Linked DNA regions of Arabidopsis thaliana. The protein of the gene in region 1 interacts with the protein of each later gene in a pairwise test. Each region holds a gene or a part of one and is shown in the gene's direction. Other genes may lie near its edges.

Region 1 (10,755 bases):
TCTCCACAGTCCTCTCACTTGCTAGCCTTTGGATCATCAGACTTCAGAACCTACTGCTATGATCTAAGGAATTTAAGAACTCCTTGGTGCATACTGTCAGGACACAACAAAGCAGTTAGCTATGCGAAGTTCTTGGATAATGAAACTCTTGTAACAGCATCAACTGATAACACGTTAAAGCTTTGGGATCTTAAGAAAACCACTCACGGTGGCCTCTCAACAAATGCTTGCAGCTTAACTTTTGGCGGCCATACAAATGAGAAGGTAGCTAATGCTGAAACGTAATTTTGAGTTAATCTATATAATGATGTTTCTCTTTTTCCTTCGTGGTTGATTTGTCTTTTCCTGCCTTTTTCAGAACTTTGTTGGTTTGTCTACTTCTGATGGATATATAGCTTGTGGCTCTGAGACAAATGAGGTATGCCCCTACAAACCTGGGAACTCTTTGATATTCCTATAACTTTGTGTATGGAATCTCCTTTTCTATAATCCTTTAACAAGCATTGCCACAGATTGATAGTTTGATTCTCAACTTAACTAGAAGCTCCAGAGTTTATTTCATGTGATGGAAAAAATCACAGTTCCATGTGAATTCCGTCTATTTATACGCGATGGAGGAACTTATCCATTGATACTAACAATTAGTAAAATAACTGGCGTAGGGTCAAAAAAGAACTAATCTGGTAGTATTGTTGTTTAAGTGATCTCTCTGATTGAGAAATATGCTGTTTCTTGTTTTGTTCAGGTTTATGCCTATCACCGGTCTCTTCCCATGCCAATTACCTCGTACAAGTTTGGTTCTATTGATCCAATATCAGGTAAGGAGATAGAGGAGGACAACAACCTGTTCGTTTCAAGCGTTTGCTGGAGAAAAAGATCGAATATGGTTGTTTCAGCTAGCTCAAATGGGTCAATCAAAGTTCTACAGTTGGTCTGAAATAAATACATACATACAGAAGAAGCTGAGGTAATTCTACACCTAGAGCCCTCTTGGTTTATGGTAAAACAAAAACCCCATCAATCCAAGAATCAGGCAAAACAACGGAGATAACGAACAAGCTTTCAACACACAGATATGAGATAGTTTTATCTATCTGTTGCTAAAGTTTTCCTCAAATGGGGTGAAGGAATGAGAGTGAGTAGAACTATAGTTGTTCAATAGTTGCGGTTTGATCAGCGCGGTAAGGGTTTATACCGCTGATGGGTATACATAGTAAGGTAAAAGACCTTCTCTTTTGTGGTGTTCTAAGGTGTTTATTTTTTTATTTTTTATTTTGGCTCTTACAATAAGATTCCTCTTTGTGATATGTAAATTTGCTCCGATAGTTCTAAGGTAAAAGAGCATACTCTGATGTATATATAGTTGAAATGAGCTTTTTAGTTCTACGGATGAATCTCCTCCACCAAGAAAAGAAAAATCTTCGTTTTTCTTTTTAAAAACTTTAAATGCATCGTTTTTTGTTGAATGTTCACAAAAGTAATCTTTGAAATGCTTTATCATTGTACATAGCTTAGGACTGAATCAGCGTAATAACGTTATCAAGGTTTCTTGCTCAATCAAGCTGCTCCAACTTGTTTATGGTCTTCTTCACTTGGTACTGAAAACTTTTTTACTTTCTGAGACAAACAACAACAGAAGATGAATCAAGGCCTTGCTCAATCTAAGATCAAGCTGTCTTACATCTATGAGAAAGACTTAAGAATCACAAAGAAGAATTCATAGTGAACTAGTGAAGCATGCCATATGGAAAAACAATTGTTCAAAAACTCCAATTGAGGAAATGTTGGAAAAAGAAAAGAACAAACCTTAGATAGAACACATTCTCAGAGAGATTGCAGTAGAATTAGACATTTCTCTTGATCGAATTTCGATTCCGAAACACAATTGAGAAGATTCACAGCTTCTTGTCGTCAAATTGGTAGGGGAAGCTTTTTCTCCATTATCATAAACCCTAAACTAAAAGTTTCTGCAAAAACAACTATTTTATCGAACTCTTAATGGGCCATCAATGGGCCCATACTTATAAACTTAAACCCTTTTCCAATTTCAGTCGTATTTTACAAAAACCATCACCGTCGTTATCACAGTAACCAAACAACTTTCATCGCCGGGTAAGCTCCATTCCCAAGCTATTTCGATCTCGTTTCACGTCGATCTATTTCTAGTCAAGTTAATCTCTTCTTTTAGGGTTTAATTAGTTAAGACTTGCGTTTGATTATCTCAAGTTCAGAATTTGTTTCTTGATGATCTAAAGGAAGGAATTTTATACTTATCAAATTGAGGATTTTTGTTTTTGGATGCAGAGAACTGATTAACATATAAGAAAATGGCGTTTGCTAGAGCAGTGAGAAGACCAATTGGAGTCTTTTATTATAGTGTTAGTAGTAGATTTAGTTCTGGAAATGAGTATTCTACTGTGGCAAGCAAATTCGAAACTTTGTCTCAGTACAAAAGCTCTGTACCGTCTGGTTACACAAGCCTTGTTCGTGGTTTTGGGAATTTCATACGGAGTTTTAGTTCGGAAGCTCCTCCTGCTGTATCTGACCAAATGAGTCTTATTAAGCAACTTAGGGAAAGAACTAGTGCTCCTATTAAAGATGTTAAGGCTTCTTTAGTTGAATGCAATTGGGATCTTGGTAAGAATTTGGTTTAGGTTTTTTGTTTTGGTGAAGGTTGTGTATGTTTTGTTGTGTTTTGAAGTGGGTTTTTTTGGATTTGACACAGAGGCTGCTCAGAAGGATTTGAGAAAGAGAGGGAAAGTTTTGGCTTCGAAAAAGTCGTCACGGACTGCTGCAGAAGGAATGCTTGCCGTTGCTCAAAATGAAGGGAAAGTTGCTGTTATTGAACTTAACTGTGAGACTGATTTTGTTGCTAGGAATGAGATTTTCCAGTACTTGGTTAGTCCCATAGCAATTTCACATTGGTTGTTGCTGAATGATGGGCTTTTTGTTTATTTTACTGTTCCTTGTCTTCTAAAATTGACATGTCTTGCAGGCTTTAGCTATGGCAAAACATGCTTTGCTGGTTGAGAGTAGTTCGCAGCAAGTTTCTGGTGTCTTCCCCTTTGGGCCGGAGCTTTTTGAGGTCAGTTTTTTATGTACTCGCTTGTTTCCTTTTTTGTTATTTAAATTTATGGATTTATGTTGTTTCCTTTGCACTGTCTGAGATATTGATATCAACTTTTCATTTCTAATCACTCTAATGGATGCTATCAGGAGTTCAAGCTTAACCTCGATCATCCAAAAGTTAATGGTGAAACAACGGTTTCAAACGCTGTTACAGAAGTAGCTGCAATCATGGGAGAGAATGTAAAATTTAGGAGAGGTTTCTTGATGTCAAAATCTTCAGCAGGCGTCCTTTCTGCATATCTTCACACAAGTCCTCAACCAGGTACAATTTGTTCAATATACTTCCCATTGTTTCTAATCTCTTTTTTTATGATATTTCTGTGCATTTCTAACTTTAAAAAAAAAAATGAGAATAGGGTTGGGTCGTATAGCTGGGATTGTATCTCTCGAAGTAGAAGGTGAAAATACTCAACTAGAGGCTATTCAGCGTGTAGGCTCAGAACTGGCTATGCATGTTGTAGCAGCAAAGCCTTTGTTTTTAAGCAAAGACCTTGTTTCTTCTGAAGCAATGGCAAATGAACGCGAGATTCTAAAGTCTCAGGTTAGTGTCACTTTATGTTATGAAATTGAACTGTAATTTGTAAAAAGTACACAACCTGCGTTAGAAAAGTTTGCTTATCAAATGTTGTATATGACAGGCAGAAAGTACAGGCAAGAATCAGATGGCGATAGAGAAGATTGTGGAAGGGCGTCTCCGTAAGTATTTTGAAGAAGTTGCTCTAATGGAGCAAAAGTTTATTGTGAACGATGCTATAAACATTAAGGTATGTGGGTCTTAGCTTAAAACACCTAGTTTACCGTTTTATTACCTCTGCATCGCTTGTTGAATTCAACTCTTGGGCTCCTATTCCACAGACACTGGTGGATAATTTGTCCAAGGAGGTAGGTTCTCCAGTGAAGGTTACCGATTTTCTTAGAGTCGAGGTTGGGGAAGGAATCGAAAGGTAAACTAACCGTCACCCGTATGTCCAGTACGGCTTATCATTGTTGTAAGATTAGTCGCTTATGAATTTTGTTTTTTTTGAAGGCTTGAAGCATCTGATGAACCAGTTGCTCAAACTGCTTGAAGACAAAGAATCAACGACATGGTTTTAGATTTACAGAACTCTTTCCTTCTTTGGTTCCTTTAGAGTTCATGGCTTCAACGCCTTCTTGAGATTATAGAATCTTTCTCATGATTTTGTTTCTCACACAATATGGCAATAAGAGTGATTGTGCCTAGGAAGCTATGACCAGAAAAAAAAAACATGTTTGTGTTCTCCTACTCCTACTAAGATCATTATACAAAAACCTTCACTTATGTGTTTGATTTTAAGGTACTCAAGTATTTGAATAAGCAGATAGTGAGTTCTTGGCTCCTCCGGTTACCAACGGTCGAAATTGACGGTTTAATATAATTCATAGACAAAACCGGTCAACTTTATATTATCCACAATCAACGATCAAGATCAACGAGAACTAATCTTACGGTTGATATCATACATCTGTATTGAGTTACAGTACACCACAAAACACTCAATAAACACTAAGCACTCTTCTTCTACCTTTTGATTTTCGAAAAACGCAAACTTTCTGAAAAAGCAAAAACTTCTGATTCTCTCGAGAATCATTTACTCTTCACACTGTCCCCGTCTCTCTTTCTCTTGGGTTAATCATGGTGTCAGAGACGACGACGAACCGATCAACGGTTAAAATCTCAAACGTTCCTCAAACCATAGTCGCCGACGAACTCCTCCGGTTCTTAGAACTCCACCTCGGCGAAGATACTGTATTCGCACTCGAAATCCCAACAACTCGTGACAATTGGAAGCCAAGAGACTTCGCTCGAGTACAATTCACTACCCTCGAAGTCAAATCTCGAGCCCAGCTTCTCTCTTCTCAAAGCAAGCTCCTTTTCAAAACCCATAACCTAAGACTCTCTGAAGCTTATGATGATATCATCCCTCGTCCTGTAGATCCAAGGAAAAGGCTAGACGACATCGTTTTGACTGTTGGGTTTCCTGAGTCTGATGAAAAAAGGTTTTGTGCCCTAGAAAAATGGGATGGTGTGAGGTGTTGGATTTTGACTGAGAAGAGAAGAGTTGAGTTTTGGGTTTGGGAAAGTGGTGATTGTTATAAGATTGAAGTTAGGTTTGAGGATATTATTGAAACTCTTAGTTGTTGTGTTAATGGTGACGCTTCTGAGATTGATGCATTTCTTCTCAAGGTAAATTTGTTAGTCCTAATGTGTTTTGCGACAATGTGAGTCTGTGTTGAGTTTATTTAGGAGTTCAGGTTCTGTGAAAATGATTCAAGATTGAGTTTTTTGGTTAGTCATATGTTTATGCATGTATTGGTTCTTTGAATCCTCTGTGACAGCTTTATGGTTTGATGAACGTGCATGAGATTGAGATTGGATTGATTTGTATGCTTGTGTTTTATCTTGGTCTCTTCTGATTTCTTTTAGCTTACATGTTGTTTTATGTTGCAGCTGAAATATGGACCGAAGGTATTTAAAAGAGTAACAGTTCACATAGCCACAAAGTTTAAGTCTGATCGGTACAGATTCTGCAAGGAGGATTTTGATTTCATGTGGATTCGGACAACTGATTTCTCTGGTTCGAAATCAATTGGTACATCAACTTGCTTTTGTTTGGAAGTCCACAATGGCTCAACGATGTTAGACATTTTCTCGGGCTTACCTTACTACCGAGAAGACACTTTGAGTCTAACTTATGTGGATGGGAAGACCTTTGCTTCTGCAGCTCAAATTGTTCCCCTCTTGAATGCCGCCATTTTGGGGTTAGAGTTTCCATATGAGATCCTTTTCCAACTCAATGCGCTTGTTCATGCGCAGAAAATCAGTCTTTTTGCTGCGTCAGATATGGAACTGATCAAAATCCTTCGTGGTATGAGTTTGGAAACCGCATTGGTGATCCTCAAGAAACTTCACCAGCAAAGTTCTATATGTTATGATCCTGTCTTCTTTGTCAAGACTCAGATGCAATCTGTGGTTAAGAAGATGAAGCATTCCCCTGCATCAGCTTATAAAAGATTGACCGAGCAGAACATCATGAGTTGTCAGAGAGCTTACGTTACACCCTCAAAGATCTATCTGTTGGGTCCAGAGCTTGAGACTGCAAATTATGTTGTGAAGAACTTTGCAGAGCATGTCTCGGATTTCATGAGAGTTACTTTTGTGGAAGAAGATTGGAGCAAGCTTCCCGCAAATGCTCTCTCTGTGAACTCCAAGGAAGGCTATTTTGTGAAGCCCTCTAGAACCAACATTTATAACAGGGTGTTGTCAATCCTTGGAGAAGGGATTACCGTTGGGCCTAAGAGGTTTGAGTTCTTGGCTTTTTCAGCGAGCCAACTGCGAGGAAATTCGGTCTGGATGTTTGCTTCTAACGAGAAAGTAAAAGCGGAAGATATAAGAGAATGGATGGGTTGTTTCCGTAAAATCCGAAGCATTTCCAAATGTGCTGCTAGGATGGGTCAGTTGTTCAGTGCTTCGCGGCAAACACTTATTGTCCGTGCACAAGATGTGGAGCAGATTCCCGACATCGAAGTGACAACTGATGGTGCTGATTACTGCTTCTCGGATGGCATTGGGAAAATTTCACTTGCATTTGCCAAGCAAGTTGCACAGAAGTGTGGATTGAGTCATGTCCCTTCTGCCTTTCAAATTCGATACGGTGGCTACAAAGGTGTGATTGCTGTTGACCGCAGTTCCTTCCGAAAGTTGTCTCTGCGTGATAGTATGCTTAAATTTGACTCGAACAACAGGATGCTGAACGTTACCAGGTGGACAGAGTCGATGCCTTGCTTCTTAAACCGGGAGATCATTTGCCTTTTGTCGACCCTTGGAATAGAAGATGCAATGTTTGAGGCGATGCAAGCGGTGCATTTATCTATGCTTGGGAATATGCTTGAAGACCGCGATGCAGCACTTAATGTTCTGCAGAAATTGAGCGGAGAAAATTCCAAGAATTTGCTAGTTAAGATGCTGCTTCAAGGATATGCACCGAGTTCAGAACCTTACCTCTCAATGATGCTTCGTGTGCACCACGAGAGCCAGCTTTCTGAACTAAAGAGCAGATGCAGGATACTTGTACCGAAAGGACGGATCTTGATCGGTTGCATGGATGAAATGGGTATCCTGGAGTATGGCCAAGTGTATGTTCGTGTAACCCTGACTAAAGCGGAACTGAAATCTCGCGATCAGAGCTACTTTCGCAAGATTGATGAGGAAACATCTGTGGTTATTGGGAAAGTGGTCGTGACGAAAAACCCATGTCTTCACCCTGGAGATATTAGAGTTCTTGATGCTATATATGAGGTCCATTTCGAAGAAAAGGGATATCTCGACTGCATCATCTTTCCTCAGAAGGGAGAAAGGTACAATAAATCAATCCTTTAGAGTTATGCACCATAAGATAAACCATATGCTTCTGATTCTTAGTCCCAACTTAGTTGATGGTTTGTTTCTCCTTGGTTTTTGTTGACTCCACAGACCACATCCAAATGAATGTTCTGGTGGCGATCTCGACGGAGACCAGTTTTTTGTTAGCTGGGATGAGAAGATTATACCTAGCGAAATGGACCCTCCAATGGACTATGCTGGAAGCAGGCCTCGTCTAATGGATCATGACGTCACGTTAGAGGTTTGTTTCTTGAAAAGGCTTTCATGATGTGAAAGTTTCCTAATCTTTGGAGCTAAGCTGATTCTCTTTCTTTCACTCTGCTTTGTAGGAAATCCACAAATTTTTTGTGGATTATATGATAAGCGACACGCTTGGGGTGATCTCAACTGCACATTTGGTTCACGCAGACCGTGACCCTGAAAAAGCCCGGAGCCAGAAGTGTCTAGAGTTAGCAAATCTTCACTCTAGGGCTGTTGATTTTGCAAAAACTGGAGCTCCAGCTGAGATGCCTTATGCCTTAAAGCCCAGAGAGTTCCCTGATTTTCTGGAACGGTTTGAGAAACCAACATACATCTCTGAGTCTGTGTTTGGGAAACTATACCGTGCTGTGAAGAGCTCTCTAGCACAGAGAAAGCCAGAAGCTGAGAGCGAGGACACGGTAGCTTATGATGTGACACTTGAAGAAGCTGGCTTTGAGAGCTTTATAGAGACAGCGAAAGCCCATAGAGACATGTATGGTGAGAAACTGACCTCGTTGATGATATACTATGGAGCTGCTAACGAAGAGGAGATTCTCACAGGCATTTTGAAAACCAAGGAGATGTATCTGGCGAGAGATAACCGGAGGTATGGTGATATGAAGGATAGAATTACGCTTTCCGTGAAAGATTTGCATAAAGAGGCCATGGGATGGTTCGAGAAAAGCTGCGAGGACGAACAACAGAAGAAGAAGCTAGCATCGGCGTGGTACTATGTAACATACAATCCAAACCATCGCGATGAGAAGTTGACATTCTTGAGTTTCCCATGGATCGTAGGTGACGTTTTGCTTGATATAAAGGCTGAAAATGCACAGAGACAGAGCGTTGAAGAGAAAACAAGTGGACTTGTATCCATTTGATTGCCCTATATAACACTTGGTGTAGTAGAATTGCTAGTTAAAGGACTATAACGTCGCTTGTATATGTGTCAAAATTATATATGATATATTAACAAGACTTGTGACTTTATATTATGTGTCATTTTGTAATTTTGAATGTGAAAATTATCAAAATGGGAGATTAAATTGGTAAATTACCAGATGATTTATTGGTACAGTTGACAAAGATATTGTTGATGCAAAATTAGATAAATGGAGTGCTGGCGTTGACACTAATTCTATTAGTCCATGAGAAACCGATTGTGCTATATCTCTAGCAGTTTGATGTCAGCTTATGGATTTGATAATATTAGTGAAATTCTTGGAAGATGAAAATAGTAAATAGGTACACTTCATACCTTAACATATATTCCATTTTTTTTTTCCGACTGAATGATTTCATTATATTATACGAAAGTAGAATGCATTTTTGAAGTACAACGACGACAAGAGACGAACTCTGTCGGGAACTAAGCCGGCGGAATACATCAATATCCCCGGAAACCTAAGCCCAAAAGAGGGAAGCAAACTATAAGCATAAAAGTACAAGAAGGTAAGCTTAAAAGAAACTTAAGATCTAAATCTGAAACTCAAAACATCAAAACCTGCAACCAATCCCAAAGTAACAGTTGGCGTCGGGCCGAAACCAAGAAACATGAGCCACAAGAAGAACCAACCAAGCATGCAAACTCCAAAGGACAGGAGATCCCGAAGAAGAACGAAACCGAAGGCTCAACCAGCAACAACCCAACAGAATAGAGAGCAGGATGTAACATATATTCCATTTATTAGATACATCATTTATTATTTAGTTTGTTATTTAAGTTCTAAGACACAATTAAGTCATAATTTTAAATTTGTTGATGTGTCATGATTTTAAAATCCTCTTATTTGTTGATGTGGCCTCAATGAGCTTCTTTTTATTAGTAGTATTTATTTCTACATGTTATGGTTCTTCTGAAGAGCTTTCTATCTCACTAGGAAAAAATAATTTGTGAGTTTGGATTTAATTAGCGAACCATATTTCTACATTTTTGATAGGTGCTTGTGCTTAGTGCTTGTAATATGTGTCAAGGCAGAGGAGGAGAAAAAGGATAATGAGCTTTCAAAGATTGAGGGTGTTAACGGCATGGAAGAAGATTAGACGTTGGAAAAGATTACCATACCAATGAACAAATTAGCCCAAGAACGAACTACATATGGAGAGGGTCACATATGCGTTTGAAGGAGAATGCTTAGGATAGTAAGAAGGGTTTGGTGTATGGGTAAATTGCTTCACATATAATAGTTTTAGTCATTTATGCGAATAACTATAATAATCGTGCAAGGTTTTGGTGAATTAATATATTCTCAAGTTCAACTATTGTGTGTTGGTTTGGTTTTGTTTTCAATATGTCGTAGTTGACGATTACATAGTATTAAGGCTAACATTGAGAGGAGATAAAGAAATGAGAAAGCAAAGCAAGTGGCATAAACGAATACCGATACGAAAGAGAGTTGTGAGTTTGATTAATATGTGCCACATCTGATATACCTCGATTTTTACTGATTTTTGGTATGATTTAGGTATAGCTTTTACATTGGTATTATTGTGCGAGAAAGACAATTGTTGATTCATGTCCTTTTTAATTACATACGGTGGACAATTGTTGAGCACTCCTAAAAATAGTTAATAGTAGGGCATGTGACAGAATACCAATTCTTCACAATGGAATAATTAGCTATAATATCATTTATGTTTGATCGTTTGTAAATCGTAAATCGAGAGAAGCACGTCTAAACAATCATAACGATTTTGGTGTCAAATGAAGATGAAATGCATCTTTAGGATAACAAAAATTGAAACTTTTCCAATATTTGTTTACTTTTTAGCACTAAATAAGAAAGAAATTGAGTACTTAGTCGCACTTGCAATTATCCCTTCCATGTTAAATAAGTAATTATATACTTAATAAATAAACAAAACAAGAACAAATGATACTTCTGTTTGGGACGTTGATCATTGTTTTTGATATATTTTAGTTTTTTTTACCAATACAATTATTTGTTATAGATGATTCTTAGACGCTACATTACTTTCGGATA
Region 2 (10,870 bases), on another chromosome or scaffold:
CAATGAGCCTCTAGATCGAATCAAGTTTGAGAATCTGGATCTATTCTACGTTGAGCGTTTAGATCGAATCAGCCTCCAGAATTGAATCTTCAACCTCCAACGTCGATTCAACCTCCAAGCTCGAATCAACCACGACCATCTCCTCAACTTCGAGCCTCTATATCGCATCACATTTCTCAAGCGCAAAAATCACATGTGGAAAAAGATGAGGAAGCTGAATCTAAGGGACTCAACTCTCTCGGAAGATGTGCTCGCTCCTTTATAAGAGATATGTTCAGTCAGCCCGTGGGCAATATACCACCGTCATCTCTCCCAGATCGGAGTCTGGAACCACTTGTTAAGTATCTTCTCTTACCATCTTATAAATTGTATAGATGCTAGGAATGTCTGTGTAGGAACTAGGAAGATAGGTTATATAGATTATCAAGAAATCTCTGTATAGGAATTAAGAAGATAGATTGTGTAGGAATCTTTGTCTTAACTTAAAATGTGGTTCGATTAAATCTCATTAATTATGTTTTGATTGAATCTTATAGATTGTGGTTAAAGTTTGAATATGTGTACGATTAAAATTTATGTTTCAAGATCGTTTGTAGTTTGATTGAACCTTTGTAGTCTTAAAATTGTGATTTTTTCAATCTTTGAAAATGCTCTTTTATTGTCTAATTTTCCATTTAGCTTGTAGTGGTTACCAAGATTACATTCATTGTTCTTTTATTGTATGTTTCTAATTGCATGCATTTTTTTATTTTGTGTTTGTAGGTATGATAAGAACAAGTTAAAGCTTACCGGATGATTACAAAGGTTTTTACAAAAAGTTTCATGGGTCATATTACAAGAAGTTCATTAAATAAAAAGAAAAAGGCAGCTAAGTTGGTTTTCCTTGAGAATGACGAGTCTTCCGATGGTACTTCGCGTCGATCAGAGCTATCTTAAGAAGAGGATGACAAAATCTTTTTCAAGTAGTGTGCTTCTTTATGTTTGCTTTTTCTTATATTATTGTTTTGAAAAACTGTTAAGAACTAATATTCTTTGTTTTGTTTATGCACTCTACTGTCACAAACGACATAGGAGAATATTCTAAAGTTAGAAGAGTAGGAAATTACACCAACGAGAAGCGGAAGTACCCGAAAAGCTCTTCTTCTTTCACAAGCCTGCAAACACAGCTTAAGGAAGCTAACTGCAAAATGAAGGAACAAGAAACTTTACAAGCAGAGCGTGAAGAAGAGGCTTTGCAAATTGCAGCTGAGCACTTGATGATCGTGAAGTACTTGAGCGCAACCGACCCAAACATTCTCGCCTTCCTCGAGTCTCAATCTATTGATCCCGCTACTGCTGATGTCCAAACATAGGTACCTTTTCCATCCTTCTCTGAATTTGAAAACGTGTGTTGGTTTGAATAAGAATTTTTGTTTTGTTTTGAACATATAGGTTGTTTGGTTTTGAATTGAACAAGAATGTGTGGTTTGTTGGATCTGTTTTAAATACACATTTCTTATGTGTTAACAAGTCTGTTGATAATAAATTAGAATTATAATCAATTTATCAAGAATTAATTGAAGGCTAAATCAAGAATTAAACCTCTAATCAATCACAAAGTAGTAGCAATTCAATCACCAAAACGTTCACAAAACAATTGTGATGTTGTGGCAAAGATGTCGCATAACAGTCGCTATACTTAGCGACGACATTGCGACTAAATAGTGACCACTTAAATCGGTTGCACATTAGTTTGTTATGCGAGTGATTATTTTAACACTCGTTGTTTAGGAAATACGTGTTTTAGTCGCAAATAAGTCGCAAGTAGGGGTTTTGCGACTGATTAGTGACTTCTTATGTTGTCGCCAATTAGCTGTTTTTTTGTCCTACCAACAAAAAAAATTAGTTGTTTTCTTGATCTAGAGACTTGATCGTAGAATTCGATGGTAGTGAGGAATGTTGGTGAGATGAGAGAGAGAGAGAGAGAGAGAGAGAGAGAGAGAGAGAGAGAGAGAGAGAGAGAGAGAGAGAGAGATTGTTGGATAGCATGACAAAATTTATAAATCAATGATAATAGCATGTTTTGTCCTTGAAATACATGCGTTTATAAAATCATATATAATCTTATATGTCACACTGACGAGTGATGGAGAAAATCCGGTGAGAGGAGAAACACAAAATATACGAGGGATAAGAAAGATAGCTTCTAGGAAGAAAGAAAGAGAGAATTGATGGAATCACATATCCAACGAGAGGAAGATAGGAAAAAAGGAATGTGGTGGTGATGAGATTCAGTAAAAGAAAAAGATATCTAGAGAGAGAATGACTATAATGTTGCAGACAAACAAGAAAAAAAAAGAAGAAGATAATAAAAGGATAAGATGAACCAAAAACCCTTAAAAAAACATATAGCAAATAGTGTCCATTTAGTCAAAGGTTATTTCGTTGATTCTTTTCGAGTCTTAGGTTAGTTTCTATATATTCTCTAAATTTTATAATTTTCTTTTCGATTCTAGTGAGAGCTGTTGCTAAAGCTAAAAAGAGAAAAAGATATTTAAGTAAAGTTTTCTATTAAACATTATATATTTTACTATCCATATCAAATCATGGAACATTCATAGCCACCCAAAACATTTTGAGTGCCACCAGCAAAAAAGGCCTAATCATATCAAAAAAAAAACATTTTTGTAAGTGTAAGAGTTGAACCTACTACCTATTGTTCTATCACCCAACGATTAACCAGTATAGTTATAAGAGATATTTGGAAAATAGATGACGGTTAATTAATAACTATATCTTATACCGTAAACACATGCTTCCCTAGCTTGTGACTAAGGCAGATTCTGGTAACAACTCATATTTTATGCATAAGATAAAGCTCACATAGACCTTGTTCAAAAGCATTACATATCCAACGATTTACAATAACTCTATCATTTACATTTCCAAATGTTATATATTTTAGTGTTTGTTTGATTTAATGGAAAAAAAAACAGTTTTGCATTAACTTTGTAAGGGATACAACAATTAAAAAAAGAGTCAGAAATAAAATAGAAAAATAATATAAACAAAAATAGAGAAATCTACTAAAGAAAACTAGATATTTGATCTTCCAACATATTAAACAGAAAAATAAAAAACTAAAGAGAAAAAAAATTAGAAATGGAGTAAAGAAAATACAGCAATTCACCGTTACCCTTAACTACTTTTTAAAATATTAAATGATATTTTCTTTTAGAATCTTGAAATAAAAATAAAAGTTTCTTTTTTGATATCAAAACCATATTAAAAACTCATCTTTTACTAATTTTAGTATAATAATTAAAAAACAAACTAAGTAAATGTTTTTGTTTTGTGCAAACTAAATGTTAAGTTCATGAATTTGTGTAAGATATTTTCCCTATAAACCTATCTCAATGTGGACCCAATAGGCCACCATGCACACAACTTGGCTTTTACTCTTTGTGTCAGTAAAATCTAAAGATAGTAAAGACAGACCAAATCGCAGCCGTTTATTTCCCATATAAAGAAGTACGTACATGGAAATGACAATAATACCCTCACTCCTTAAACCCTCCTCTTCTCTCACTTTATTTTTCAGTCTCTCTTTATTTCTCTCTATCACTTTTTATCGATTCTGCGCAAATTCATGCAAAAAGGGAAAATAAAAAGTTCTACACTGTCCCCAAGATTCTGCGTGAGTGTGGTATTGAATTCTTCGCCGTCCCTTTTCTATTTATCATATTTTGTTCCTTCTCTTATTTTCCTCTTAGTGTCAATCATGGACTAGAATCAACTCTCTTTTTCCCTCAAAGGTGATATATTGATTTTGTGTTCTGATCATAAAGTTGTGGTTTTTTCAATCTGGGTTTTGTTTGTTGTTGATGACGATCATGTTTCGTTTTTCATTTTGATACGACACTGTTACTCTGTTTTACACCTTTTTAGTACAATAATGTTGCTTTCGCACATTAACCAATATGATCAAGTTTTAAAGTTCATATATCATATATGTTCTGGGTTGTCTCTAGTTGCAGATAAAGTTTGAATCTTTTTTTTATTTGTCAAGTGGTGAATGAATCCTAATGAAGCTATACATGTATTGGTTACAGGAGATCATATGTGGATCCACAAGTGATCTTGAAGGGAAAGAAAAAAATGAAGAGAAAGCATTACTTTGAGTTTAACCATCCATTTAATCCATGTCGTAAGTGTTTTACAAGATCTGATGTTTTATTTTCTTACCTAAAATGTCATGCATTGAGATTTGAATGACTGCTGTTTCTTTACCTAAAATGCTCTGTTTTGTCTGTTGTGGTAGCTTTCGAGGTGTTCTGCTGGGGGACATGGAAGGCCGTGGAGTACTTAAGGATCGAGAATGGAACGATGACAATGCGTCTCTTAGAAAATGGACAAGTTTTGGATGATATAAAACCATTTCAGAGGCTTCGAATTAGATCAAGAAAGGCGACTTTGATCGACTGTACTTCTTTTTTAAGACCCGGTATCGATGTTTGCGTTCTTTATCAGAGAGATGAAGAGACTCCAGAACCAGTACATTCACTTTCTTCAATATGAAAGTCTTTAAATCTATGCGCATTTTTGCTGTTTTGAAACGTTTTGTGTGTGTGTGTGTGTGTGGTGGTGTAGGTTTGGGTGGATGCAAGGGTTTTATCTATAGAGAGGAAGCCTCATGAATCTGAATGCTTGTGTACGTTCCATGTCAGTGTTTATATAGACCAAGGCTGCATTGGTTTGGAGAAGCATAGAATGAATAAAGTTCCGGTACTCGTGGGACTCAACGAAATCGCCATCCTTCAAAAGTTTTGCAAGGAACAAAGCTTGGACCGTTACTATAGATGGAGATACTCTGAGGACTGTTCTTCGTTGGTGAAAACAAGACTAAACTTAGGGAAGTTCTTGCCTGATCTTACATGGTTGCTTGTTACATCAGTTTTGAAAAACATTGTGTTTCAGATTAGAACCGTTCACGAGAAGATGGTTTATCAGATTGTGACGGATGAAGATTGCGAAGGCTCTAGTAGCTCTTTGAGTGCAATGAACATTACGGTTGAAGACGGTGTTGTCATGTCTAAGGTTGTTTTGTTCAATCCAGCTGAGGATACTTGTCAAGATAGTGATGTAAAGGAGGAGATTGAAGAGGAGGTAATGGAGCTGCGTCGGTCCAAGAGAAGAAGCGGGCGGCCTGAGAGATACGGAGACTCTGAGATTCAGCCGGATTCGAAGGATGGATGGGTAAGGATGATGCCATATAGGTACAACATATGGAATGTTTCAAGTGATGATGATGATGAAGAAGAAGATTGCGAGGATGATAAAGATACTGATGATGATTTATACTTACCGTTATCGCATTTACTTAGAAAGAAAGGAAGCAAAAAGGGATTTAGTAAGGATAAGCAGAGAGAGATAGTTTTGGTAGACAAAACTGAGAGGAAGAAGAGAAAGAAAACAGAGGGATTTAGTCGAAGTTGTGAGCTTTCGGTTATTCCTTTCACTCCTGTCTTTGAACCTATACCGTTGGAACAGTTTGGTCTCAATGCAAATAGTTTGTGTGGTGGTGTCTCTGGAAATTTGATGGATGAGATCGATAAGTATCGTAGTAAAGCAGCGAAATACGGGAAGAAGAAGAAGAAGAAGATTGAAATGGAAGAGATGGAATCTGATCTAGGTTGGAATGGACCTATTGGGAATGTGGTTCATAAAAGAAATGGACCGCATTCTCGAATAAGGTCCGTTTCTAGGGAAACCGGAGTTTCTGAGGAACCGCAGATTTATAAGAAGAGAACGTTGAGCGCAGGTGCGTATAACAAGTTGATAGACTCGTACATGAGTAGAATTGATTCTACAATTGCAGCCAAGGACAAAGCAACCAATGTTGTTGAGCAGTGGCAAGGGTTAAAGAACCCCGCAAGCTTTTCGATCGAAGCCGAAGAAAGGTTGAGTGAGGAGGAGGAGGATGATGGCGAGACTTCAGAGAATGAGATTCTATGGAGGGAAATGGAACTATGCTTGGCTTCTTCTTACATTCTTGATGACCATGAGGTTATATATATATATACCTTTTGGAAATCTTTTTATATTTTCCTGAAAACATTCTTGATGACCATGAGCTTACATTTTTATATGTTTAATAGTTTGATTTGAAGTTTCAGGTGAGAGTGGATAACGAGGCGTTCCATAAAGCAACCTGTGATTGTGAACATGACTATGAATTGAATGAAGAAATCGGAATGTGTTGCAGATTGTGTGGTCATGTAGGAACTGAGATAAAACATGTTTCTGCACCTTTTGTAAGTGGAAACTCTATACCAGACAACATTTTGTCACCTACTTTCGATGAGTTACTTGTAATATATTTTGGTGGTATGGTTTTCGATAGGCGCGGCACAAGAAATGGACGACGGAGACTAAGCAAATCAACGAAGATGACATTAATACTACTATAGTTAACCAAGATGGAGTTGAGAGCCATACTTTCACTATACCAGTTGCTTCCTCAGATATGCCATCGGCTGAAGAAAGTGACAATGTCTGGTCTTTAATACCTCAGCTTAAGAGAAAACTGCATTTGCACCAGAAAAAAGCTTTTGAGTTTCTCTGGAAGAACCTAGCCGGGTCAGTGGTTCCCGCGATGATGGATCCGAGTTCAGATAAGATAGGTGGGTGTGTAGTTTCTCATACTCCCGGAGCAGGAAAAACATTTCTAATCATAGCTTTTCTCGCGAGCTACTTGAAGATATTTCCGGGTAAAAGACCTTTGGTTCTTGCTCCAAAAACAACTTTGTACACTTGGTACAAGGAGTTCATCAAATGGGAGATTCCGGTCCCTGTTCACTTGCTCCATGGTCGTAGAACCTACTGTATGTCCAAAGAGAAGACCATTCAGTTCGAGGGAATTCCAAAACCAAGCCAAGATGTTATGCATGTTCTTGACTGTTTAGACAAAATCCAGAAATGGCATGCACAGCCGAGTGTTCTTGTAATGGGTTACACATCGTTTCTAACTTTGATGAGGGAAGATTCAAAGTTTGCTCATAGAAAGTACATGGCTAAAGTACTGAGAGAGTCTCCTGGATTACTGGTTCTAGACGAGGGACATAACCCGAGGAGTACCAAGTCGAGATTACGAAAGGCCTTGATGAAAGTTGATACTGACTTGAGGATTCTGCTTTCTGGTACATTGTTTCAGAACAACTTCTGTGAGTACTTCAACACTTTGTGCTTGGCTAGACCCAAGTTTGTTCATGAGGTTCTAGTGGAGTTGGACAAGAAGTTCCAGACCAACCAAGCCGAGCAAAAGGCGCCTCACTTGCTTGAAAATAGAGCTCGGAAGTTCTTCCTTGACATTATAGCCAAGAAGATTGACACAAAAGTGGGCGATGAGCGCTTGCAGGGTCTCAACATGTTGAGGAATATGACGAGTGGTTTCATCGATAACTATGAAGGGAGTGGAAGCGGAAGTGGTGATGTTCTCCCAGGTTTGCAGATTTACACATTGTTGATGAATTCCACTGATGTACAGCACAAGAGTCTTACCAAACTTCAGAACATAATGTCAACTTACCATGGATATCCACTCGAGCTCGAGTTACTCATAACGTTAGCTGCTATCCATCCTTGGTTGGTCAAAACCACAACCTGTTGCGCCAAATTCTTCAACCCTCAGGAGCTTTTAGAGATTGAGAAGCTCAAGCACGATGCAAAGAAAGGATCAAAAGTCATGTTTGTGCTTAATCTTGTGTTCCGGGTGGTCAAGAGGGAGAAAATCCTCATATTTTGTCACAACATTGCGCCGATCCGCCTGTTTCTTGAGCTGTTCGAGAATGTATTCAGGTGGAAGAGAGGCCGAGAGCTCCTGACCTTGACAGGGGATCTCGAGCTGTTTGAAAGAGGCAGAGTAATAGACAAATTTGAAGAGCCAGGAGGCCAGTCCCGTGTTCTGCTGGCTTCGATTACAGCCTGTGCAGAAGGCATCAGTCTAACCGCTGCTTCACGGGTGATCATGCTTGATTCAGAGTGGAATCCTTCTAAGACAAAGCAAGCAATCGCACGTGCATTCAGACCGGGACAGCAGAAAGTGGTGTACGTTTACCAGCTCTTGTCGAGAGGAACACTTGAAGAAGACAAATACAGGAGGACGACCTGGAAAGAATGGGTCTCCAGTATGATTTTCAGTGAAGAATTTGTGGAGGACCCATCTCAATGGCAAGCTGAGAAGATTGAGGACGATGTTCTTAGAGAAATCGTGGAGGAAGACAAAGTCAAATCCTTCCATATGATCATGAAGAACGAGAAAGCTTCAACAGGTGGCTGATTGCTGAATTTTTCCAGTTCAAGTTTCTGTTTCACCATGCCTTTGATGATGATTCTTTAACAGCTTGTTGTATTGTAATATAAACTAATCCTGTATCATAAGTTTGTGTAATCATTCAGCTATAGCATCATAATATTTAATAAAGTGAAACAGATGTATTCATCATAATCTTGTTAAATAAAACAAAACCTCCAAATAAGATCATTAAACAGTTGATTTGAGGAACGGGTTTGAAGAACGTCGAGCTTCTCCTTGATTCACTTCCTTTTCCTGTCCCTTGTCTTCCTTGTTAACATTGTTCACCGGATTCTTCAAATTCAATTTCTTTATCTCTTTTATCTTCGCATCGTCACTTTTGTCTTTCTTTGTTTGTTCTTTTCCCAGCTTTAGACCTTCTGAAACTTTCGATTTCTTTAGAAGTGTAGGAGCAGATAGCTTAGTTGCAGAAGATTTCATAACTGCTTCTGTGTTTTCACTAGTCTGAATCGAAGCTGGAGGATTCTGGACCTTGGATTCAACTCTTGTAACTACTTCTCCGTTTGGATTCAGCGCAGGATTTGTTACCGCCGCCTCGCTAGCTTCTTCAAGCAACCTTTCCTGTTAGTGAAGAACCAAAAAATTAGCATTACGTCTGTATCTAATTTTTCTTCTCTTTTGTGCAAAATATAAGAAATGAAAGTACTTGTAGAGTACCTCGAGTATGCTGCTGAATTTCTCTGCCAAAAAAGGAAGCTTGAGTTTGGTAACCAGTGTTATTGCAGCTCTCATTGATTTTTCTAGAGTTAAAAGCTCCATAAGTTCACTGGCCCTTGCAAAACTATCACCTGAAAGATGTAAAGAATCTTGTTGTAAAAATCTGGACAGTAATGGTCTTAGAATATGAGTTCACACACAACACAAGCAGATATATATTTAACTTACTACTACAACACGAGCTGATGAGCCTTAGTATGCATTTATCTTGAGAAACTTCCAGGTCAAAAGCTTCATCTTCAAGTGCTGTTGTGTCTACCCCGACCAAAGCCATATCGTCCACTTTTCGTTGAGTCTGAGATTAGGAGGAAATAATATATTGGAAATGGTCTCATATATCGATATTGATACTAGTTTCAGCAGATTTTGTTACTTATAGCAAGAACACGAAATCTCCTGGTATATATTCATCTCTGTTGCTTACCCAAAACAAACTTAAGACTATTTCACATATATTTTGGTAGTTAAGAACTTTGGAGACACAATATACTGCTTAACAAAACTTGACCAGAAAAGGAGAAATAACAGCAAATTAAAATGGTGTAATAAGGAGAGAGAAAAACCTCGTATAAACGCAGCTGCTTTAGTATTAACTCATTTTCTAGAGATGCTGCTCCTAAATCTGAGGATGCAAGCGGGAGAGAAAGGTCTAGTATGGTAAGGATTGGTTTTGGTGTCACCTGAAATGGCAGGAAGAATAGTGGTGAGCCAATATTTTCCAGATAAGTAAACACCTTAATATCAAGAGTGATAATATATACCTGTGGGAACATCTCCGCGTATTTGCAAGCTATACAGTACAAACTGCTTGTATTCAAGCCAACCACCCAGTAGTTTTCTTCTTGTTTCTTCTCTTTACTGGTACTGAAAATTACAATGAATTCAGTGAGTAAAAACACCTTGAAGAAACATGCGTAAAGAAAGTTCTCGGAAAGTGTCAATAGCTACGGCAAGATACCTGAAAACTGGGATCCATGAGCCACCATATTGACTTGTAAAAACCCTCAACACACCCTGCAGGAAACCTTTCTGTTGTAATGCGTGTTGTATGCAAAGAGCACCAGTGTAATAGCAAAATGAGTGATCGTAAATGCAAGAAAGCACACCTCAGAATCATATGAGCTCAAAGAACCTTCTTCACTGAATCCTATCCATGTTAAACGTGAGCCAGGGGTTAAGGCAACACGGCCTTTCAACTCCTGAGTCATTTTGGATATGTTAAAGACTCTAAATTCCATCACCTGCATATTTTTGAAACAAGAATGAGCCGAGAATTCCATCAATGTTATGAATCACTTTTCCTTGTTGGAGCAATAAGATAGAGTTAAAGAAGCTTCATATTGTTATCAACAAAGATTGACAATGTCCTTTCACACTATTTACTATGAAGGGGATGCCAAGTGACTCCAAGGTTGATCTAAGCAGAGAACCCGATGAGAAATGATACATACCTGTTCATTTGAAGGAAGACAGTCTGAAACATGAGTTACCACAGCTAGATGATCCTTGCATCCTACTGCAGTGACTACGGGCCCATCAAGAGAAAGAATATGTTTCTGAAAGAAATGACCATAACTTATCAGATCAAATAAACCAAGTATTTCAATACTACGGTACATATTACACACTAGTATTTGAAGTTAGTCAAAATCTGTATTATGTCAAAATACACTGACTATATCTAAATATGCATTCTTTTCATCTGAGAATAATCCAAAAAGAGACAAACAGAGGCACAATACACAACAGCAAGTTAAGCAGAAAACCATTACAAAACTAAATGGTAAACTATGATCAGTT
Region 3 (8,258 bases), on another chromosome or scaffold:
TGATTGCGGCAATGATGATGATTTGGACGGTTTTGAAGACATAGAAGAAGGAGTTTCGCTTCATGAGCATCCACTCTTTGTCCCAACAGCTTTTCAGAAGCTCTGTTTTCTTGATTGAGTATTTGTCAAACATTAGAGCTGCTTTGTGGCTTTTAGACTTGTCGTACGGTACTGATAGCTCGTTAGATAGTTTAGATCCAACATGGAATTTCTTAAAGCTGCTGGCAAACTCCGACACTGGAATGTATCTATAGGGTCTGTTTGGATCAACCCAATACTGTTCTTGATCTTTCTTTGAGGTAACCTGTTCCACACGTAAATGTAATTTGTAAGTCACTTTCGGGTCAAATATTAATACCAAGTTAGGTCTAACGGTCTAATATATATATTTACCTCTTGCAAGAAATCAGCTGTTCCTTTTCTTTCAGGGCACTTGAACCCAAAGCTCTCAAAGAACTCTAGAATATGGTCTCTAGGTCCCTGGTACACAATCTGTCCCTCCGACAATAAGATTATATCATCGAATAGATCAAACGTCTCAGGAGCAGGCTGGAGAAGAGATATAAGAACTGTGGCTTCTGTGAGGTGAACAATCTGTTGCAAGCATTTCACGATTTGGAAAGTCGTGGAGCTGTCAAGTCCGGTGGATATCTCATCCATGAACAGAGTCTTAGTAGGTCCAACGATCATCTCACCAGTTGTCACACGCTTCTTCTGACCTCCTGAAATACCTCTCATCATGTCATCTCCAACTATAGTGTCCTTGCAAATGTCAAGCCCTAGAATCTGTTTCATAGAACAATAACATCTATCTCAACATATGAACACTATATAATCGTTTAATCAAGACAATTATGTATTTAAGGTTGAGAGGGACTCACTTTGAGAGTATAATCAGTGATAAGACTACTCTTGACGCCTTGAGCAGCAGAGGCCTTCATGAACAAATCAACATCAGCTTCTGGAAAAATCCCAGCGTCCTTTTCTCTTCTTGCCAACTCATTTAAAAGATCTGCATCAATAACAAGTAAGATTACTCAATCGACCAACAAAAACAAAATCGATAGTTAGTTTGACAAAAAGTCTAAGATTATACCGTAACGGGTACCAACTCCTTGACACCTAGCAGAGAAATCAAGAGTCTCCTTAACAGTCATGATACCAACATGAAGATCGTTCTGACTAATGTAAGCAGATGTTTTAATGGGAACAAACTCATTGAGGCGATAACCATTATAGGTTACCTCCCCAGAGACGTCAAGAGACTTGTCGAGTTTACCGGCAAGAGCCAACAAAAGCGTGGTCTTCCCGGAAGACGGAGGACCCAACAAAAGTGTCATCCTTGAAGGTTTGACGATACCAGAAACATCTTTGAGAATAGTAAGTTGTGCTTTCTTGGCAAGCCTAATTCCGATCATGCCTAGAGCAGCTTCTCCCATGTTTCTCACCGCGTTAAGAAGCGAAGGAAGAGATCTATCACCGGTGTAACAGTCAGCTTTCACAGTCAAGTGGTCGTACCTCACTTCTACTGTCGGAAGTTGGATCCCAACTCTGTCGATTCTGTTTCTTAGCTTTGTCAAGATCCGTTCGTTGTCCTGCTCTGCGACTTTGAAGACCATGTCGATGAACTTCTGACGTTCTTCGCCGTCAAGCTTCGTGACGTCAACTGCTTTGTTGAGGATTTGGTTACCGTAGACGTCGTCTTCGCCTAATTCAGGCATGAGACTTGTGCGGAGACGGTTGTAGGTAGGGAGTTTCTCGATGGAAGCCCATTTGAGAGCTTCTTCGTCTTCGTTGACAGATTTGGTTCGTCTAGAGCTTGTATTGAATATGTCTTCCATGTTTCTGCTTGCTTTGCTTACACTACGACTTATGGTTTGCCGCATACTCCCACCTCTGCTCATAGCATGAGCTGGATCGTAATCCATCTTTAGATCTTATGAATCTTGATCCTGTTTCTATTAAGTTAAGTGCTTCTTCTTCTTTCTTTTAGACTATTAGACTGATAGGATCCATATGTGAGTAGAAGAAACGGATGATATGTAAATTTCGTTGAAGAAAACAGAGAAAGAGATAAGCAAAGATGGTGTGTTTGTCAGTGCCTCTGCAGCATTGAGAGAGAAAAGAGTAAGGGACAATGACGAGTGCAAGCTCCCCCTCTGGTGCTCTCTGTTATTTTATCACAATCTCCAATGAAAACTATAAAGAAAAGCACCACTTGATTGTGCCTTTTAAATTCTTGTGATTATTATAGTAATCCATGCAATAATGAAACATCTTTTAACAGGATGGCCCATGTGGAAAATGAAGGATGCCTAGTCAATCATACACGAGTTAAAAATTCGATTTATACGTTTGTATAAGGTTGGTGCTTAATGATGTAGACAGGTTGTCTTTTTTTGGCTTGATTGGTTTTGTTTTTCCTCACCTTCTATTGTCAACAATAGAGCAGGTGGCCTTTTTAAATTAATAAAAGATTGACGGATTCAAGAGATGGCAATGGACCAATGGTGATAAGAATGAGAGGAGTGATTAGTGCAGAACAGGTATAGAAAATTTGGGACTTATGTAAGAAATTGAATTAGTCTACTACGATTAGTTATATTTGGTTATGACTTACTAGTAGACCTCGTACCAACTACACACAATCTACAAATGTCAAAGTAACTCGTTATGAGTTCAAACATCTTGACCCCAATTTATGGATGCTATTAGCTTTGTTAATCAAGTAAAGTTATAGTATATCTACTGCGTGCGTGATTAGTTAAATACCGTAATTAATACGTAACACAGAATGACAGCTATGTAACCGAGTACAAATCCCTGATTAAATTTTCTATGTTTGCGTGTTTGTGTCTCGGTCAAAATCAATCAGGGCCTTTGCCATCATTTTCAAATTTGTGCGTTTAAAATGCTTTAAAGCACGTGTAATTAACTAACTAATTACAATAATGTATATTTGATATGTTTAGTAACGAATCTTGTATTGGAGAAATAAGGGCCTGGGTTGTCGCCAACAAAAGAAGGTAGAGCCTTAGTGAGGATTAGCTGTGATTAAATTATATACTTATACATGCTATGATAGTATTTGATTAATAATGTCAGTAATCATGAATATTAATAAACACTCCACCACGCACCACCAGCTCATATGACTTGGAAGATTCCCCGCGGACGGGTTCCCTCATCCTGTCTCGATTGTTTCAAAGTCATTTATAAATATTAAATAATAGTACAGTTATATGAGTGTGGTTAAAATAAAATAATAGACGGTCCAAAAAACAAGCATATGGGTAATAAATTAGTGAGTTTAAGCCCATTTATATTATTATTATCCATTTTAGGCCCATTAACCCACTAAAGCTCACTGAACTCTGAAGGCATCAGTGTAGTAGCAAATTAGCTCAAGATCCTTTTCACTTCTTCTTCTTCTTCCTTGTGCGCTCGATAATGGCTGCTTCCGATGATTCCTCTCACTATTTCACCGAGTTTACCTTGTCTGAGGTTATCTATGCTTTCTATCATTCGTTTTCTTAGATTAGAGATTCATGCTTTGTGATCTTATTGCTCTTCTTATTCGAAGATTGTAGACATGGAGAATCTGTATAAGGAGCTCGGTGACCAATCTCTCCACAAAGATTTCTGTCAAACTGTTGCCTCTACTTTTAGGTACTTTATTCTGAATTTTACGAGAATTTGATCATGTGAATGTGTTTGTTAGAGAATCGAGACACAAGCATTTTGTGGATTTATAGGAATAGTAGGATTATTGATTTTCATGCACAGTATCTAAAAAATCTTTATGTCTTCTTCCATTTTCTCTTATAGTTGTTCTGTGAATCGGAATGGCAAATCCTCTATAACCTGGAAACAGGTGCGTCTCTTTTTTCTTCATAGAGCTAACTGGTAAAAAATGCAAATAGAGTAGAAATAACTTTTTTTTTTGAATCAAAATGTTTTCAGGTACAGATTTGGTTCCAGGAGAAGCTGAAGCATCAAAGCCAACCAAAATCCAAAACTTTGCCATCTCCCCCTTTGCAGATTCATGACTTATCTAATCCCAGTTCTTATGCTTCAAATGCCTCAAATGCTACCTTTGTTGGGAATTCTACCTTTGTTCAAACACGAAAAGGTTTTCCTTTTCTTGTGTGCCATATTTGATTCTTTTAGTTAACGCCTTATAACGCCTATGAACATTTTCATACACAGGCAAGGCCTCTGATTTAGCTGATCTGGCTTTTGAGGCTAAATCAGCGCGGGACTACGCGTGGTAAGAACGTTTCCTTGCATTGAATATCATGTTTCTATTTTTGCTTTAACTCTTGGACTACTGCTAGCATATGACTTTGTTAAGTGGCCTAAGTAAGAACCTGAAATGTGAACTCTCTGTTGATTGTTAACTCAACGAGGAATGCCCTTACCTATTCAGTGTGAACTTAAGAAAGAACGTTATTCATATAAAGCCTAATTTTTGGACTTGTAATATACGTTTGTGTTTTATATCTGTGCTTATTTGCTGGAATTCTGGTCTTTCAGGTATGACGTGTCTTCGTTCCTTACTTATAGAGTTCTTCGCACTGGTGAACTGGTAAGCTTTTTCTCTTTTGTTTAATGGATGATTTGTTTGCAACTAAGAGTGTCTGCAACAGGAAGTGCGTGTACGGTTTTCTGGGTTCGACAACCGACACGATGAGTGGGTAAACGTCAAAACATCAGTGCGTGAGCGGTCTATTCCTGTAGAACCATCAGAGTGTGGGAGAGTGAACGTTGGAGACCTGCTTCTATGTTTCCAAGTAAGGCTGACTTTGATCTAATTATGAAGGATGGAACATTTAACAAAAGAAATTTGAACTTAAAAATGAAAGTTGGGGTGGTTAATGAGCAGGAAAGAGAGGATCAAGCACTCTACTGTGATGGTCATGTTTTGAATATCAAGAGAGGGATTCATGATCACGCGAGATGTAACTGCGTGTTTCTTGTTCGCTACGAGCTTGACAATACAGAGGTAAGAAGATTGATCTCAGCCTTTTTGTTGGGTGTGGGAACTATTGACGAAGTTTTGTGTTAAGTGTATGTTCAGGAATCGCTGGGACTAGAAAGAATTTGCCGCCGCCCTGAAGAGTAATTTTTTTTGGTTTTGAAGTCATATTTGGAAGATGCAGTAAACTATGACTATATAGTATATGACTGACCCAAAAATGGAATAACATGCTCATGTATAGACTTCCACTACTAAGTACCTACCGGCCCTAGGATTCTATGTTAGTTTTTTTCTGTCAACTATGTGGAATAAAGTGCAAAAGCTTAGAATTGTAAAGGGAATGGTGATGGTACAATGTAATAATACCCAAATGCTTAACCAGTTAACACCCTATGTAATGTTCAACATACAGTCTCATTCTTGTGAGCAAGACTATTTCTTTCTGTTTACTCATTGCTTCTTGTATATACAATACGCAGGTCAATACATTTTGTGAGCTTCGGCTTATTAAGATAAAGATGTGGAAAAAAGCTCATTTAGCACAAAAACTATTTGGAAAGAAATAAATCTTTGTGCCGAAAGTAATATAACTATCGACCCGCTCTCTGTATTCAATCACACAGCAAAGGTACAACAAGTATCACACTTTCAATAATGCTTTCTCGATACATATCTCATCCCAAGATCTTCTACAGAAGAATCCATTTGCTTGTAATGGATGCAAAGCAGTCCCTATCTGTTTCTCCAAGACAATCAATGTGTACTCACTCTTTTCAACACATTGTTTACTTGTTAACACAACAAGATTCGAGCCAAGAACAAGAGAGCTAAGGAGACACGGGAACTACCGGTTGAGCCATCTCCTCAATCGGGAAACAACTCCCTGAGGAGGAGGGGAAGGTGGAATAAGAACATCAAGAATGGTAACTCTCTCTTTTGGAGTCAATGGTACACCTCTAATAAGGTTCAACGCCATGATGTCTACATTTTTCCTTAGCCTGTGCTTCTGGTAAACTATTCCTGCAGCGGTACCTCCAGCAATTATAACCTGTCACACACCAAAAACAAGAGTCCATTAAACCTCCGTCCCCATGGAGGTTTCAGTTGTTATTGACAGCTTAAACTGACCGGTGTGAGCCACAAGGCTGCGGTCTGCAAATCAAATTTTGGGGCATAAAGCACTGTCTCCCCAAATTCATCCTCCAGCTTACTGTAGATCTCTTTGTCAGTTTTTCCAGCTCCTATCTCATTACGGATCAGCTACAAAACTCAGGTGTATTAGAAGAGTAGACAGCAAAACTATCTTCAACTTAATCTTTGGAAGAAAAAACGGAGTAAAGGACACACCTGTCTAAGGAGAATAGCGATATCTGCCTGCGAGTCTTCAATGGACTGACTTCCACACTCAGTGCAGCGAACATTGTGGCTAATGTTTCTGGCCCGAGCGTCCAGCATCTGAGCCTTCTTCCTCTCTTCGTCTGTTTTCTCCATTGCGCTGACAATTTCATGATATGAGTATTGTGAGTTTTCACACAGGCATTTCGTCGAACACTTTGTGGGCAACAGAGGCTCAGAGACCCAAAACGTAAGGAACGTAAATTAAGTTATGAAGGGAGAACCTGGGTGGAGAGGAAGCAAGAGAACTCCGAGAAACCGCTTAGTTCGTTCAACGTGGAGCTCAAAAATGAAACCTTTCGCTTGGGAAATTACTCCGTTTACTAGTAAAAAGTAAACACCCAATCGTCCTCCAGCAATAATAGCGCCGATCCTTCTCGACAGAGCCGTTTAGAGAAGATGCCGGTGGATCTTCGGCGGGTGAACAAATCGGATCCGAATGTGAAATCGAAAAGGCGCGTGAAAGAGCGTGCGACTGAGAGTGTGTCCGAAGACGTTTCGCGCGTATACAGTGCTCGTGGGCATAATAAACATGGGCCCTTCAAATATATAATTTGTTTGAAATTGTAATAAACATGGGCCTTGTAACTGATAGAACTATATTCTATCAGTAACTGCATAAAACTCACTAAGAGAAGACCAACACTCTTTGGAGTCCAAATGACCAAAACAAATTGAGAAGAGAAATATGAGATGAACCAAAACAATGAAACATAGAATAGCGTCAGGAAGGAACAATGTTACAGAAACAATTAAAAGAAAAAAACACATTCTACAATAGGAGAAAGTGAGGGTGAAACAAAAGCACCACACTGAATACTCATACTATTAGCTGAATTAGTGTTGGTGATGGGTCTGCTCTTCTTCTTCATCACCCGTTTATTTTACTTGGGGTCTGGAGTCATGGGTGAATAAAGGCTAGAGGGGGCAGAGCCCCATGGTGCCGATCATTGATGACTCACTGTCTTTCTAAATCATTTTGCTATGAAGGCAGCCTCAATTCTGATATTATGGAACTAGGCAAGTGGGCATTATCTGTGATGACCAATAAAGCATGACATAATAAAGCATGACATGTTAGACAAGAAGAATTGCAGTGTAATATTTAGTTATTTACATTCATCCAGACATATCATAACTTCTAAATTGCACAATCTTTGCCTTTCTGCTAAAGAGCAAACTCAACAACAGAGAGAAGCCAATCTTTCTCTTTTCAGTGTTCTGTATATGAATTACACAAAAGCTACTAACACCAAATGTTTAATCTGTATATGAATTCGTTTGACAGAAGGAGAGCTGAGCAGTCACTAACAAGTAACAACAAACTATACAATTCAATTTGGGATTTGATTCTGCAAGACCTAATAGAGACATGGCTACTACTTGCCAACGATAGCATTTCGCCCTGCTTTCTTCTTGCATTTGAAACTGAATAGCAAAAAGAGAATCAACGGTTCGTGAAATAGGCGCAGAAAAAGCAAATCGCAAGAGAGAAGCTACTTTATTGGCCCAAATCCTATTTCATCCAGTTTTGTGTCTTACAGGCGATACATAAGCTTTGCCACCATTGCCAATGGAGACAAAGTTCAGACATTTAAGCACCGCACAATCAACAGAAGCAACGCAAACGGATTTGTAAGCTGTAAAAGTCTAATACTTTTTATTTATATACACGAGGGAAGAACACTTCTGACAATGTGAGGACTCTCAGACAAATCCTTCAACCAAGATCGGTTTCATCTCCTCTTCTTCATCTTCATCACTCTGATCCTTCTTCTCACTGCTTCTCTCAATACCTTCAACATCTAGATCCTTCAAACCATCAACGCAGCTCTTCCCTTCTTCTCCTTCGCCAGCCACCACCAAATCTCCGGCCTGTTTC

What was found.
Region 2: the proteins of RDR2 (region 1) and CHR38 interact in a two-hybrid assay, tested with the Arabidopsis thaliana proteins (one study listed by BioGRID).
Region 3: the proteins of RDR2 (region 1) and SHH1 interact in a two-hybrid assay, tested with the Arabidopsis thaliana proteins (one study listed by BioGRID).

The regions. Positions count from the first base shown.
Region 1 is NC_003075.7:6,775,739-6,786,493, forward strand, and holds RDR2 (RNA-dependent RNA polymerase 2), read left to right. Parts: upstream 1-4,710; 5' UTR 4,711-4,783; coding exon 4,784-5,335; intron 5,336-5,599; coding exon 5,600-7,506; intron 7,507-7,621; coding exon 7,622-7,772; intron 7,773-7,860; coding exon 7,861-8,652; 3' UTR 8,653-8,894; downstream 8,895-10,755. Other genes in the region: SPA2 (SPA1-related 2), read left to right, coding at 1-264, 359-418, 746-937; AT4G11120 (translation elongation factor Ts (EF-Ts)), read left to right, coding at 2,328-2,637, 2,726-2,898, 2,996-3,085, 3,217-3,391, 3,486-3,670, 3,768-3,893, 3,985-4,073, 4,157-4,196. UniProt on the Arabidopsis thaliana protein: RNA-dependent direct polymerase involved in the production of small interfering RNAs (siRNAs). Binds to single-stranded RNA (ssRNA); engages ssRNAs longer than 7 nucleotides and initiates internal to their 3' ends.
Region 2 is NC_003074.8:14,753,353-14,764,222, reverse strand, and holds CHR38 (chromatin remodeling 38), read left to right. Parts: upstream 1-4,137; coding exon 4,138-4,186; intron 4,187-4,300; coding exon 4,301-4,533; intron 4,534-4,629; coding exon 4,630-6,045; intron 6,046-6,149; coding exon 6,150-6,293; intron 6,294-6,382; coding exon 6,383-8,317; 3' UTR 8,318-8,425; downstream 8,426-10,870. Other genes in the region: AT3G42660 (transducin family protein / WD-40 repeat family protein), read right to left, coding at 8,522-8,914, 9,011-9,141, 9,239-9,365, 9,634-9,750, 9,832-9,934, 10,029-10,084, 10,177-10,311, 10,522-10,626. UniProt on the Arabidopsis thaliana protein: Probable chromatin remodeling factor. Required for the initial establishment of DNA methylation and for accumulation of 24-nt siRNAs.
Region 3 is NC_003070.9:5,234,646-5,242,903, forward strand, and holds SHH1 (SAWADEE HOMEODOMAIN protein), read left to right. Parts: upstream 1-3,398; 5' UTR 3,399-3,450; coding exon 3,451-3,504; intron 3,505-3,583; coding exon 3,584-3,669; intron 3,670-3,828; coding exon 3,829-3,874; intron 3,875-3,963; coding exon 3,964-4,132; intron 4,133-4,209; coding exon 4,210-4,270; intron 4,271-4,536; coding exon 4,537-4,588; coding exon of another isoform or gene 4,589-4,612; intron 4,613-4,649; coding exon 4,650-4,793; intron 4,794-4,885; coding exon 4,886-5,068; downstream 5,069-8,258. Other genes in the region: ABCG35 (pleiotropic drug resistance 7), read right to left, coding at 1-304, 394-786, 882-1,012, 1,097-1,928; CCMH (cytochrome c biogenesis protein family), read right to left, coding at 5,826-6,029, 6,110-6,241, 6,329-6,472; AT1G15230 (uncharacterized protein), read right to left, coding at 8,084-8,258. UniProt on the Arabidopsis thaliana protein: Involved in RNA-directed DNA methylation (RdDM). Required for the silencing of some endogenous RdDM targets and accumulation of 24-nt siRNAs, but not for the production of Pol V-dependent transcripts.